Regions from separate parts of the Mus musculus genome. Here all the other regions are reported to be linked to region 1. The links are microRNA targets in miRTarBase. Many come from high-throughput screens and were not tested one by one. Region 1 holds a microRNA gene; each other region holds the end of a gene's coding sequence.
What was found. The annotated mature microRNA mmu-miR-142a-5p reads CAUAAAGUAGAAAGCACUACU and lies in region 1 at 2,968-2,988, opposite strand. An mRNA with a match to its seed (bases 2 to 7 or 8) in the 3' UTR can be bound and repressed. Matches are read on the target gene's strand: a 7mer-m8 pairs with bases 2 to 8, a 7mer-A1 pairs with bases 2 to 7 and ends in A, and an 8mer does both.

Region 2: miRTarBase lists Wwp1 as a target of mmu-miR-142a-5p. Seed matches in the 3' UTR shown: 7mer-m8 at 734-740.
Region 3: miRTarBase lists Cd28 as a target of mmu-miR-142a-5p. Seed matches in the 3' UTR shown: 7mer-m8 at 2,861-2,867.

What each region holds. Positions count from the first base shown.
Region 1 is chr11:87,755,607-87,759,854 of GRCm38, reverse strand. It overlaps Mir142 (microRNA 142), which reads right to left and starts at 2,991; the gene lies at 2,928-2,991. It overlaps Mir142b (microRNA 142b), which reads left to right and starts at 2,900; the gene lies at 2,900-3,014. It also overlaps a transcript of Tspoap1 not described here.
Region 2 is chr4:19,608,033-19,612,280 of GRCm38, reverse strand. It overlaps Wwp1 (WW domain containing E3 ubiquitin protein ligase 1), which reads left to right. Exons shown (of 25, transcript NM_177327.5): 25 at 468-3,985. The coding sequence ends at 567. Among named protein-coding and RNA genes, the nearest start is that of Gm42259, 8.1 kb to the left of the region's middle.
Region 3 is chr1:60,769,168-60,773,415 of GRCm38, reverse strand. It overlaps Cd28 (CD28 antigen), which reads right to left. Exons shown (of 4, transcript NM_007642.4): 4 at 57-3,759. The coding sequence ends at 3,631. Among named protein-coding and RNA genes, the nearest start is that of 2310016D23Rik, 7.2 kb to the left of the region's middle.

The sequences.
Region 1 (4,248 bases):
AGATCTCGAGAGATAAGAATGTTGCTCCTAGACGCAAGACAAGCCAAGGTCGAGGGCCCTCATGTGGCACCCCTATGGAATAGCAGCTAAAGCATAGAGAACACCCCCCACCCAGACAGTAGGCTCCACCCAGGCCAGAGCCAATGGAACTGGGTAGGGGTTGGAGTTGCATAAGAGAGAAGGTAACATTCATTTCTCTAAAGCAGTCTAAACATCAGTACACATGCTATGTCATGTAACTTTCAGTCAGCATGCATATGCATGTCATATTACATGTATGTATAGAAGAGTATGCATAGTATGTCTGTGTATACATGGAGATCACTGCATGTATGTGTGCTATTTTGTCTATGAATCTCATTGGATATATATCTGTGCATGGTTTTGTGTCATTGTATGTCTATTTGCTACAATGTCTATGTGCATGCAATTACGTATGAGTTTATCATTGCATTTTGCTATAAATCACAGATATCATGCCATTATACAGCACTAACACATTATGACATACATTGTCATATAATAATGTACAATGGCATACAATGATCTATGTACATGATAAACTTGCCTGGCATGATGTGCACGCAGTCTCTGTATATATATTCTCACCCCTCCATGCCTAAGGGGACTGTCTATAAGATCATCTCAGGATACCCCACTAAGTTCTCAAATGCTTAAGTCCTTTTATGTAAGGTGATGAAATATCCGCCCATGGCTTATACACATCCTTCTGTATACCCAAGGTCTCTTGCATGCTAGGCAAGCACTCTACCACTAAACCATATCCTCAGCCCAGCCCCACCCCACCCCCATGCCTTAAATCATCTCTAGATTGTTTATACCTATTTTATAATACGATGTGAATGTTAAAATAATTGTACTGTACTATTGAGGAAATCACAAGAATAACAAGCAAAGTCTATACATTATAAAGAGACAGCTTCCTCTCTGGTAAGAGTCTTAGCTCAAGCTGGTCCTTCCTCTTCCAGTTGCTGGGGTTGTAATTACATCTACAATTGGCTTGCAATCAAAAACACATTTTGTTTTTCAATCCTAGTCAATAGGATGGCTCTGTGGGTAGGACATTTGCCACCAAGCCTGACCACTGGAGTTTGATCCCCAGTAACCACGTGGCCAAAGTGGAGAACTCCTCCACGCAAGGTGTTCTCTGGCCCTAAATGCACACCACAGTACATTGGTACACTCACCAGCATTCACACACACACACAAATTAAATGTTTTTCAATTCATCAATGTGGCAATCCAGAGAGATCTTGATGATCTCGCGGTTAGTGTCTTATGTACATGAAGCCACCACATGTGAATGTCACTAATGGGTATATTCTTTGGCATTATATGTGTAAGTACTAATGAACATGTGTTTGGCCTAGGTGACTGTATACCCATATGATACACCAGCCACGTCTCATTGTCTATATGTCACAGTTCATGCATGTGGCTGGCATCGGTGTATAGGCCCTGATGAAATGCACATGATGGTGAAAGTGTGTTTTATTAACACCAATGACCTGTGTAGACATGTACAAGGCAGGTGGGCACACACTGTGCTAGCGTGGTTTTGCCCAACTCTTACACTAATAAGAATCCTCTTGGAGCCAGGCAGTGATGGCACACACCTTTAATCCCAGCACTTGGGAGGCAGAGGCAGGCAGATTTCTGAGTTTGAGCCAGTCTGGTCCGGAGTGAGTTCCAGGACAGCCAGGGCTACACAGAGGAACCCTGTCTCAAAAAATTAAAGGAGAGAGAGAGAGAGAGAGAGAGAGAGAGAGAGAGAGAGAGAGAGAGAGAGAGAGAGAGAGAGAGAGAGAGAAGAAAGAAAGGAGGAAGGAAAGGAAAGAAAGATCCTCTTGGGCTGGTGAGATGGCTCAGTGGTCAAGAACACTAACTGCTCTTCCAAAGGTCCTGAGTTCAAATCCCAGCAACCACATGGTGGCTCACAACCATCTGTAATGAGATCTGATGGCCTCTTCTTGTGAGTCTGAACACAGTTACAGTGTACTTAGATATAATAAAATCTCTTTTAAAAAAAAGTTCCTCTAGACCAATGGTTCTCAAGCTATGGGCTGCAATCCCTTGGGAGGCAGACAACCCTTTTACAGGGCCACTCAAGACCATCAGAAAACACAGATATTTACATTACAATTCATTACAGTTGCACAATTATACATATGAAGTAGCAACGGAAATAATTTTATGGTTGGGGGGTCACGACAACCATGAGGAATTGTGTTAAAGGGTCGCAGAGTCAGGAAGGTTGAGAACCACGGCTCTATAGACTTTCTTAGATCAAAACGAGAGGCAAACAGTCTTCATTTTGGAGGTATAGAGAGTAAAAGGAAGCTAGCATAGAAATTAGAGCCAAAGGTAGAGGTCATCTCATACCCTTTCTTCACGTTGCTACAAAGTCTACTTCCGGTGGCCCAAGCCTTCCCACCCCCAGGCTGTGTCTTAGTCAGGCCAAGGTCTTCTGCTCATGTCAGCGAAGCCTGTCTTTCTGCGTCAGTTCTGTTCCCGGGCATCCGGGGAACTCACACAACCCCAATAACAGAGTCAGACAAAAGCGAAACCAGTCCATTCTTTATTAGTGTTGAGGGCCCCGTGACCCTTACCCATCCATCCGGCTCCCTTCTCGAACCCCCAGTCGGCCTGCGATGCAGGACCAAGGCCCCACACATCCGGCCCCACCCCATATCCTCACGGACGTGCATTCGAGAGAGCGGCTGTGGTGTCTCCCCAAGTATCAGGGGTCAGGAAGCACCGTGCTTTGGGGGAGCCATGAAGGTCTTTCGGGGAGCCTGGCCAAATGAGGGCGTGTGAGAGATGCTCACCTGTTTCCTTGATGTTGGAGTGGAGGACGGTGGCAGGGGGCCGCGGCGTGGCGTGGTCTCCGAAGCCCACAGTGCACTCATCCATAAAGTAGGAAACACTACACCCTCCAGTGCTGTTAGTAGTGCTTTCTACTTTATGGGTGACTGCACTGTCTGTCTGTCCACGGGGATTCTTCAGGCCACCTGCTTTTCTTGCCGACTCCTGCTTTAATAAAGGCCCCTGCCCCCTCCCCTCCGTGTAACTTCCCAGGGACCGCTCCACCCTGCCTGTGGCCCCCTAGAGGGCCCGCCCTGGGCCTTGTGGGTGGTGACTCAACATGGCGCCAGATGAGCCTCTTCTTCCCCCGCCCAACTTCCTCTTTGTAACCTTCTTCCCTCCACTCCCCACCCCCTCCGGGTTTCCACCCTATTCTCTCCCTTCTCGGGGACACTCAGGTAAAGACCACAGCCACTCCAGAAGGCTCATCCCCATCTTTAGAACTGCAACATCCTGGGTGGTGCTTCCCAGCCGTATGACCCACAGTCTTGAATCCAACGGAGGCAGCCATGGCCTCCTCCCATAAAGGCCTCGGTCCCCAGCCTTCCCATTAGACAAAGGCCTCCACTCCCACACGCCTCTGTCTCTAGTCTCCCCATTGGAACAAGGCCCCTGACTCCCTCATTCCTGCTCCTCAAGCTGGAATCCAAGTGTGTTGGCAGAAATGGCGGCCATGTTGCGTGGAAAAAATGCCTGGGCACCACTTGCCGATACCAGTCTCACTGTTTCAGCCCACTCTCCCACTCTCGCAACTCCTCCCTACTCTCTGGCCCTCCTCCCTAAGAGCTAGAGACTGTTATTTTCGAGAGGGGGGCTCAGAAGCCAATTTTTCCTTTTTTTTTTTTTTTTTTTTTTTTTTGGTTTTTCGAGACAGGGTTTCTCTGTATAGCCCAAGCTGTCCTAGAACTCACTTTGTAGACCAAGCTGGCCTCGAACTCAGAAATCCATCTGTCTCTGCCTCCCGAGTGCAGGGATTAAAGGTGTTCGCCACCACCGCCCGGCTAATTTTTCCTTTTTTAATTCTGTAGATTTAAAAGATGGGGTTGGGGATTTAGCTCAATGGTAAGCGCAAAGCCCTGGGTTCGGTTCCCAGCTTCCCCCAAAAAACAAACAAACAAACAAAAAACAAAAAACCCAAGAAGATTTAAAAGATTGTAAAAGCTGTCCCCAGTGAAGGCTAGTGGATCCAAGAGTCATTGCTCCTAAGCCTAAAACTTTGTTAGGGAGCTCTGGCACCCAGCCCCTCCTGCTGTCCGGAACCTCCACTTAGAACCTGCACCCCAAGCTCTTCTCTGAGCCTTGGGCCCAGAATTAAAGAGCCCTGGTTGAGGCCAGAGTGAAGATTTAGGTCTTACCTGATGC
Region 2 (4,248 bases), not on the chromosome of region 1:
GACTGAGTCTATCAGAACATAATTCTGTGAGCTAAGGGACTCAGGATTTTCATGAGTGTATTACCAGCTACTGGAACATCTTGCACACAAAACTCAGAAAATGAATGAATGAGTGGATGGATGTAATTAACTAACCTAAGAAAAATTATGGAACCTCATCACCCATGACAACAGAATAGCAAAAGGAAACCCATTTTAAATTCAGTCTTTATAATGTTGACATTATTTGTAATACCATTATTCTTTGGCAAATATATAGATGTTTTACGACTTAAATTTTATATAGATTCGTTTATTTAATTTAAATGTGTTAATATACTAGTTATTATATTAAATTGTTAGGATACCTTTGGCAAAGTTTTTATATACATAATCAGGTTTCAATGTACTGTTAAAGAATACTATATTGCAAATATCGTCAGTTTATTTCATTGAAAACATCTGATTTTGTTTTTGTTTTTGTTCAGTTTTAATCGCTTGGATCTACCACCATATAAGAGTTATGAACAACTAAAGGAAAAACTTCTTTTTGCAATAGAAGAGACAGAGGGATTTGGACAAGAATGACTGACTTGTCTTGGAGAAGCTCTTGCATTTAAATACCCAGCCAAGAAAAATTGCACAGATAGTGTGTATAAGCTGCTCATTCTGTACAGTGAATTTTCTGAACCTTTCAAAGTATAAATGTTTTCCGTTCTTCCACAGAAATATGCAAAACATTTCATCATTTTCTACTTTATTTATTGTTCCCTTTAAATGACTGACCAGGAAAAAAAAATCATCCTTAAATTTTGACGCAAGCAAGAGAATTTATTAAAAAGTATATATCTATATAACCATATATGACAGTGGCTCTAGTTTTATAGAGCGCCAGGTGTATTAAACATGACAGCCGTTCATTCACAAAACTCTGAATTTGCTTTGCCTTGTTTCTGTTTTCCAGGGGAAAAGTGCATATGTGCCATGTTCTTCTCCCTAGGTGACATTGGATTGTGTTAGCTGCATGGCTGTTCAGGAAGGAATTTAGGGCTTAAGCCAACTCTTACTTTAAGTGTATTTTTTTAAATTGCTGCTGGCTTTTCTGAAGACAAGTACTTCAACTCATTAAGTTGTACTAAATGAATAGGTTTTTTTTAATCACATCATTGTTATATCAGTAGACACAGAAGTCGTGTGATAGATCCAGTCGTGTCTAGGAGCAGCTGGGATTGACTTGCTGCAGAGCAGAGGTCTATTTACATCTTACTTTCGGATGTTGGGTATTTGTGGAAATTTAAAGAATCAGGCATCTCTATACTTACATTTTTAAACTTGTAATGTTCTTCAAATTCAATTGCTAATGATTTGATAGTTTAATGCTTAGGGATACATAAAAGGTACTGAACTTGGCTGCTTCTGTGCTCAAGGTTTACTTGTATGAAGTCAGAGATGTTCTAATGGATTGAAAAGCTGCAGAAGTATTTAAACGCTCACACTAAGTACTTTTTATTAGTGTTTGAATGTCCCCACCCCTTCCTTACAAAATCAGAATTGTTTCTAAATTCAGTAGGTATATTAAAAGAATTCTTTGTGCTCCCTATTTTATACAGAGCAAGTTTTCTCCAAATGACACTGATTTTTCTTTTCATTATAAGGGCATTCTTGGTGTATGAAAAAAATTAAAATCTAATGTGAATGATACTGCTACTTTTAGCAAACTGGGCTTCCTAATTAATATAAAACATTAATTTCCATTTTTATCCTTTCAATATGCACTGCGAAGTTCATTAACTTAAAATTTTGTAACTATGAAGTTCACTTAGAATTATAACTTCTATCCACTAGTTTAGTTTTGCTAAGATTTTATTTTTCTACTTTAGATTATGTTCTTCAGTTTTATTCAGAATTCACAAATAAAAGCAGTAGTCTACTTAGTTGAATAAACTATAGAAAATCTGGCTATTCTCAAGCTTAAAAGAATTTTTTTAATTCTAACATATGGCAAGTTATATAGTAAATGATGGCCAGTCTTCAAAAGTCCTGCATAAATTATTCTGTAAGATAATAAACTTGCTATGACAGAAAGTATCGGCTTTCATTCAGTGGAGGTATGTGACAGCATCCCTTTGCAGATATGGTTTACGGTTGCTTTCAGGTAGGATGTCAGGGAGCATCCCTTTTGTTAGGTTACCTCACGTGAGGAACAGAACCCACAAGATCAAGCCAGCCTTCTGGGGAAGACTAGTCTGCAGACCTCATCAGGTTCTTAACCTTTCATACCAGTTATAGACTTCAGGCCTATAGACTTGTTTATCTACTCAGTAGTCAAAGTCTTAAAGAGAGGTGAATCACCCCTGCTGTCTCCTTCCCATCCCTCTTCTGAACTGGACCCTCCACATCTGGCTCACTGAATCCAGTAAGACAAAGTTGGAGGTGAGGAGGACCGAGAGACAGGTTAATAATGATGCTTTATTATAGTGACAGTTCCCAACATCACCAGTAAATTGAGCTTAGGGAATGGATCATCGGCTTAAAACAGTTTTACCTGTCAGCTCAGTCACCTACCTGTCTTTGGGAAAGAAGCTACTATTTGTTTTAGAAAATGAAAATGTTATTACCCTTTTCTCCAGCTGACTTCAATTATCCTCCTAGGTCTAGGTGTTCTAAATTAGGTGTTTTATAACCACTCCATCAACAGACCACCTTTGTTGTGTTTGGGGCTCAAAAAGAACCCTAACTAGTAAGCTGCTTCTGAACTGAGAAAGCTCCTGACATATAGGAGGGAGCTGTAACTGCGTTTCCCAGAATCTGAACAGGCTTACTATTGCATGTCCTAAACTGTCACATTAGGAGACTACCGTTTTTGTAGAACCATGTGATGGCCCTGCTATATTACTACTACATGTTCATTTTCTCAAAGGAGGCCTAACATTGCACTGATGGCCATCATGGTTCCTGCACTAGAGTATTCAGAGTAAACTGATGCCAGACAAATGTAGTTTACTGCAGGCTTACTGGATCCTGACATTTAATTAAATATAACATAATCTAGTAAACACTGAAGTAACAAATCAGTTGTTGAAACATGAAATAAATGTTCTTCTGTAACATGTCCAACTTTTCTTAATGTGTTGAACAGAGAAATCAAGTCAACTGGGAATTTGACACCAATCTAAATGTGCTATTTCCTAAATGCTAAAAGTTCGACTCCAAAATTCAACAGAATGCAATTAAAATGGTGGTATTTCTTTTTATTACTAATTCTACATCTTTTTCATGAACACTTAATTCTGTTGGTCCTTGTGATTAACGTAGTATCTTGTTTTCATTATGTTTCTTAAGAAACAAGACAAGTCTTACCAATCCACTTTGTGTTGTAGCATCCATTGCCTGTTGGTAGGCCACACTGTCAAGAAGTGACAGAGAAGTTCAGTGGTGAACGTGAGGGGAAAGAGGGAAACCAAATAACCAAAAAGACCCCCAGCTTTCTCCTAGTGTGCTCAGAAACCTGGGCCCTTCATCCACTACACTACCAGTAAACAAACCCTAATTCAGGTTTCACACATCCTCAAAGACAGCAGACACACTTAAGGAAAGGAAATCACCCATTGCCTGTGTCTATAGTATGTTGGCCTCCTTTTTCCTCTCAAATAATCAGCCTTCTACTTTGATGTCTTTTTAAAAAAAATATGGACCCACATGCAGTATCCATCTGATCCTATAATGGCTTAACAAGATCATCTTCAATTCTATCCTTTGACTGCAAATGAGGTAATTTCACTTTTTATGACTGAATAAAACTGGTTTGTAAATATATACATTTTGTTTGTCCACTTGGTCGATGTCTATACTGATTCCATAGCTTGTTTGTAAACAATGCCACAATAAATATCAATGTAAATGCCTTTATTTTTAATAGCCACAAATTTAAAAATATTAAATACCTTCAACAGATGGATAAAGTGGTATATTCATGTAATAAAATATTAACACTAAAAGGAAAAAACTATTGCTTGAACTTAGTTATTAGAGGTCTGGCTAAGTGAAAAGGCACAATCTCAAAAGATCATATTCTATAAGATTACATTTGCCTAAAAGGCTTAAAATGGCAAATATATACTAGATTAGTTGTAGCGTGTGTCTGGAATTTGAGAGAACTGAAGGTGGCTAGATATGACTATAAAGAGCACTAGGTCTCTGAAACGAAACAAATTCCTATCTTGCCTGTGGTGGTAGTTATAAAAATCTATAAAATAATGCTATTAAGAG
Region 3 (4,248 bases), not on the chromosome of region 1:
TATGAGCAGATCATTCAGATTTGCCACTAACTCATAAACCCACGTGAAATCCATCTAGTCAATGAATAAATATTTATTGCAGGCTAAGCATTATTCTAGGCACTGGGGATACAGCAATAAAATCAAAGCAAATGGAGTTCTTTCCCTTTGGAGATCCGGTGTAGATTTAGGAAAAAAAACAGGCAATAAACCAATAAATAAGAAAAATACCTATTAGTAGAGTTATAGAGAAAATAAAACAAGGCATGGAGACAGGTTGTACAGGTAATTAACTACAGTTGAAGGTGGCATTTGGGCAAATATGTCAAGGAAGTAAGAGCAAACCAAGTAGATATCTATGAAATAACATTGTAGACAGGGAAAATAGTATGAATAGAATGTGTTAAGTCCCTGGTACAGAAACAATCTTGATATTTGCATAAACATAGCAGTGCAAGAGAGATTTAAGCTTCACCTGTCTTTGTAGAGAGCATAAACTCATTCACAAGTCCTGAGAGAACCCACACTACTGTGCTTAACTTGGGTTAATGGTGGCTATATGGACATGAACATTGCAATTTCTGGTCCATCTTACCATGTAGTTGAATTTAACATATTCAGGTAAGTATACAAGTTACATATAGTTCCCATATGGTAGTACAGAAAGCTGGGATGAGAGATCAGACATCCATTTGACCATCAGTATGCATATTAAAATAGCCATTGCAGATTAGTGGCTCACTCCGTTGACTAAATGATTGAAGACCTAAATGATTTGAAGGCTCAATCAAGTTATATCTGTCCCCAGCAGTCACATTACAGAGAATACATTGGGTAAACCCAGACTGAAATCTCCAAGAGATAAAACATTGGCCTACTGATAAACTGCTACTGACTCGTAGCAAACCAACCACAGCTTGTATTTCTTCCATAGAAAAACAACGTTTTGAAAATCTGCAGAGAAAGAGACAGACAGAGAGATACACAGAGACAGAGAGACACACAGAGAAAGACAGAGAGAGGGAGAGAGGAAGAGACAGAGAAGTGAGGGAGGGGAGACATATGCACAGGAGAGAAAGAGAGAGACAGAGACAAAGAGACACAGAGAGAGGAAACCAAAGGTGTTAAAAATGTTTGTCATACACTTTTTCAAAATCTCTCCCAACTCACTGCAAAGGGGGTGCATACCTGCCCTAAGAAAAACATTAAAGCACGAGTTTAAACACAGGCATGTGCTAGTGTGGTAATTTTATCATTGGATGTAGCTATAAGGTACACCGGGTCTCTTTAAAATTGGCATGCTCGGTACCAAATAGGTGAGCTCATAATTAGAAATTACAGGCACACCTTTAGTTCTTAGACTCTTACAATAATAGCAGCAAGTGACATAGTTTTCTTCATACACACTACATCTGAAACTGCAAAAGCTTTACTCTGACCCAGTGTTTTTAACCCGCCTGTTGGTTCATACCGAGAGCGAAAGGCTTTGGACACCTATGTTTCGGTTGTGTTCAGAGGAGGTATGAAAACTTTCAGGTGTGATTCATCTCCAGTAAACCTCCTTTTCCAGTTAGAAAACAAAGTTATTGATTGCCAAAGACCAAATCTTTCCGTTTAAAAAAAAATGGTTTGTTATTTGCTATGACCCTTTCTATAAATTCTCCAGCTCTGTCATTTTCAAATATAATTTTATAACTTAGATTCAAGAACTCTATGTGTCAAGAGGCTGACTGCAATCACAAGGGCCAGCATTCTTTTATCACACAAGTAGGGCTAATCTTGGCCTTCTCTGGTTTAATTAAAAGCACAGAATAGAAGCCATTAAAAAAAAAAAAAACCAAAGCACAATATCTTCTGTCTAGAATTAAAAGATTCCTATCTTTTCTTACCCCTCATATTAAAAAAAAAGTTTAAAGATCTCTTTATACACAAAAACAGTGGGGGGAGGGGAAATGCCTCATGTTTGATTACAGGATATTCCAATTAGCTGGAAAGTTATTGAAGCTGAGAGATTATCACGAGTTTGGGTCATGATTGTGCACTCCTGAAATCCCAACTCTTGGGAGGCAGAGGCCAGAGGATCTTAGCAAGTTTCAGTGTGGCCATCTTACAGTTGAGGAGTCATAGACTTGGATGAACAGTGACTTGCCTGAGGCCATTTAACTCATAATGAAATGTTTTTTAAACCAGGTCTTCCTGACTTTAAAACCTCTGAATAATTCAAAGCACTATACAAATGGTGAAGACAGCTGGACAGCCGTTCTTCAAGGTCCCCAGATACATTCCAGTTGATCCGAACTGGAAGCAAAAAAGAAAGTCCACCTTCATTCCAGTATCAGGTCTTGTAGGTACTTGAGAACTTTGATGTCGTCCCTAAAGACACATTCCAAAATAATTGTTCATGTCAATGTATCCCCATGGTATGAAGCAGCTGAGCCCACAAAGTTCTGGAGTCCTGAGTCCTAGGACATATAAAATCCCTCTAAACTGTAGAGTCTAAAGGAACTTATACTGGGGCTCCCAATGGTGCCTTCTGGAAAACATCTATGTCTTTCATACATGGCAAGAATGACCTCATTCCCTTCCTCAGAGGAAGCTTCCTGGAATGCATCCTTACCACCCTGACAAATACTAACACTACCCTTTTTGTTCACAGTATCATGACTAGCAATATATAGACACAATTTCAGATATCCATCCACAAAGGACAACAAGTGGCCCAACTGTAAGAAGTTGAAACTTAAAATGATTTGACTATAACAGGCTACTAAACAGATAACTCTTCATAGCATTTTGTGTGTATGTATATGTGTGTGTGTGTGCACATAGGTATGTATGTATACATACATATGTGTACGCGTTTGTTTTTTTTTTTTTTTACATAAAGTGACCTTACTTCCTCTCACATTCTTCTTGGTGTGGGAGGGCTATCTAGTTCTGAAATCATGTTGTGACTATTAATAATACTGAGTTCCCATGACCGGGAATGAGGAAAGAAGCACTGGGGGGTGCTTTGAGGCCATTCCATGAGTCAATGTGATTAAAAATGGTCAGAAATCATTAAAAAAATATGTCCACAACTTTCTAAACTAACAGGAAAACACTATTTAGGAGCTAAGTGGCTCATTTCATGAGTGAAAAAAGTGTTTTCATTATTTTTCAAATAGTTAAGTACTATACTCTAACCTATCCCCACCCCAAACACCAACTTAGCCAAAGAGAAGGTTTTTCTATCCTTTCTTCTCTGTCCAAAACATCTTTGGCTATCACACCACATGACTGAAATGTGCTGGCAAGTGAAAACGGGGCAGGGCTCATCCAGGAGCCTGCAAATTGACTTCCCAAGGCTGAATGAATGATCTTTTTGATTGCTCTACTCTAACTTCCCCAATCAAGTCAATAAATGTATTAAGCTTGAGTTTGGGTCAAGCCACACAGACTTTATCCTGCCATAGAAGCTTCTGTCATTCATTCCAGAGTCTCAAGATGATCATGATGTTAGATCTAGACACTCTAAAATAGTTGGCATTGGTGGCCCAGTAGAGGTCCAAAGTGGCCGGCTGAAGATGAGGCTGTCCTTTCCTATCCAGAGCAGTGATGATGAGCAGGTAGACGGGTACCAGCCGGCGGGCTTCTGGATAGGGGTCCCTGTCAGGGGCGGTACGCTGCAAAGTCTCTGGCAGGGGCGTAGGGCTGGTAAGGCTTTCGAGTGAGCCCAGGCCTCCGGGGAGTCATGTTCATGTAGTCACTTTGAAGGAGTCTGTTCCTTCTACTATTTGTCTAGGGGGGGAAATGAAAAAAGAAAAAGGTCAATATGGAAGGACTTAGAGGAGGTATTATTGGAGGGGTTCTAAGACTTTAGGGATAATTACTCAGATCATCAGCTGTTAAATGACCCTGAGGAGCCTTTTTGTGTGCCTTGGACTAGGATAATGACTAATCAAAGCCTGACTATCAACAGCTCTACTAAAAATCTAAAGGAAATTGTTTTATAAAAATGCAACCATTATTCTCAATGTTGTCATCTAATCCGAAGCCCAAGAATGTATTTTAGAACATATTCACTATTGATATGTAAATGCAATAGAAAGCCTTTAGTCTTTGGATAGATTAAACACTCCCACTTTAATCATTCATTAAGTAAGCTATTTTTCTGTAATTAAACAACAACAAGACAAACAAATAAACAACAACAACAAAAAAAAACCACCAAATTCTACCAGGAGCAGAGAAAGAGGAATGATACTAAGCCTGGAACTAGAGGTAAAC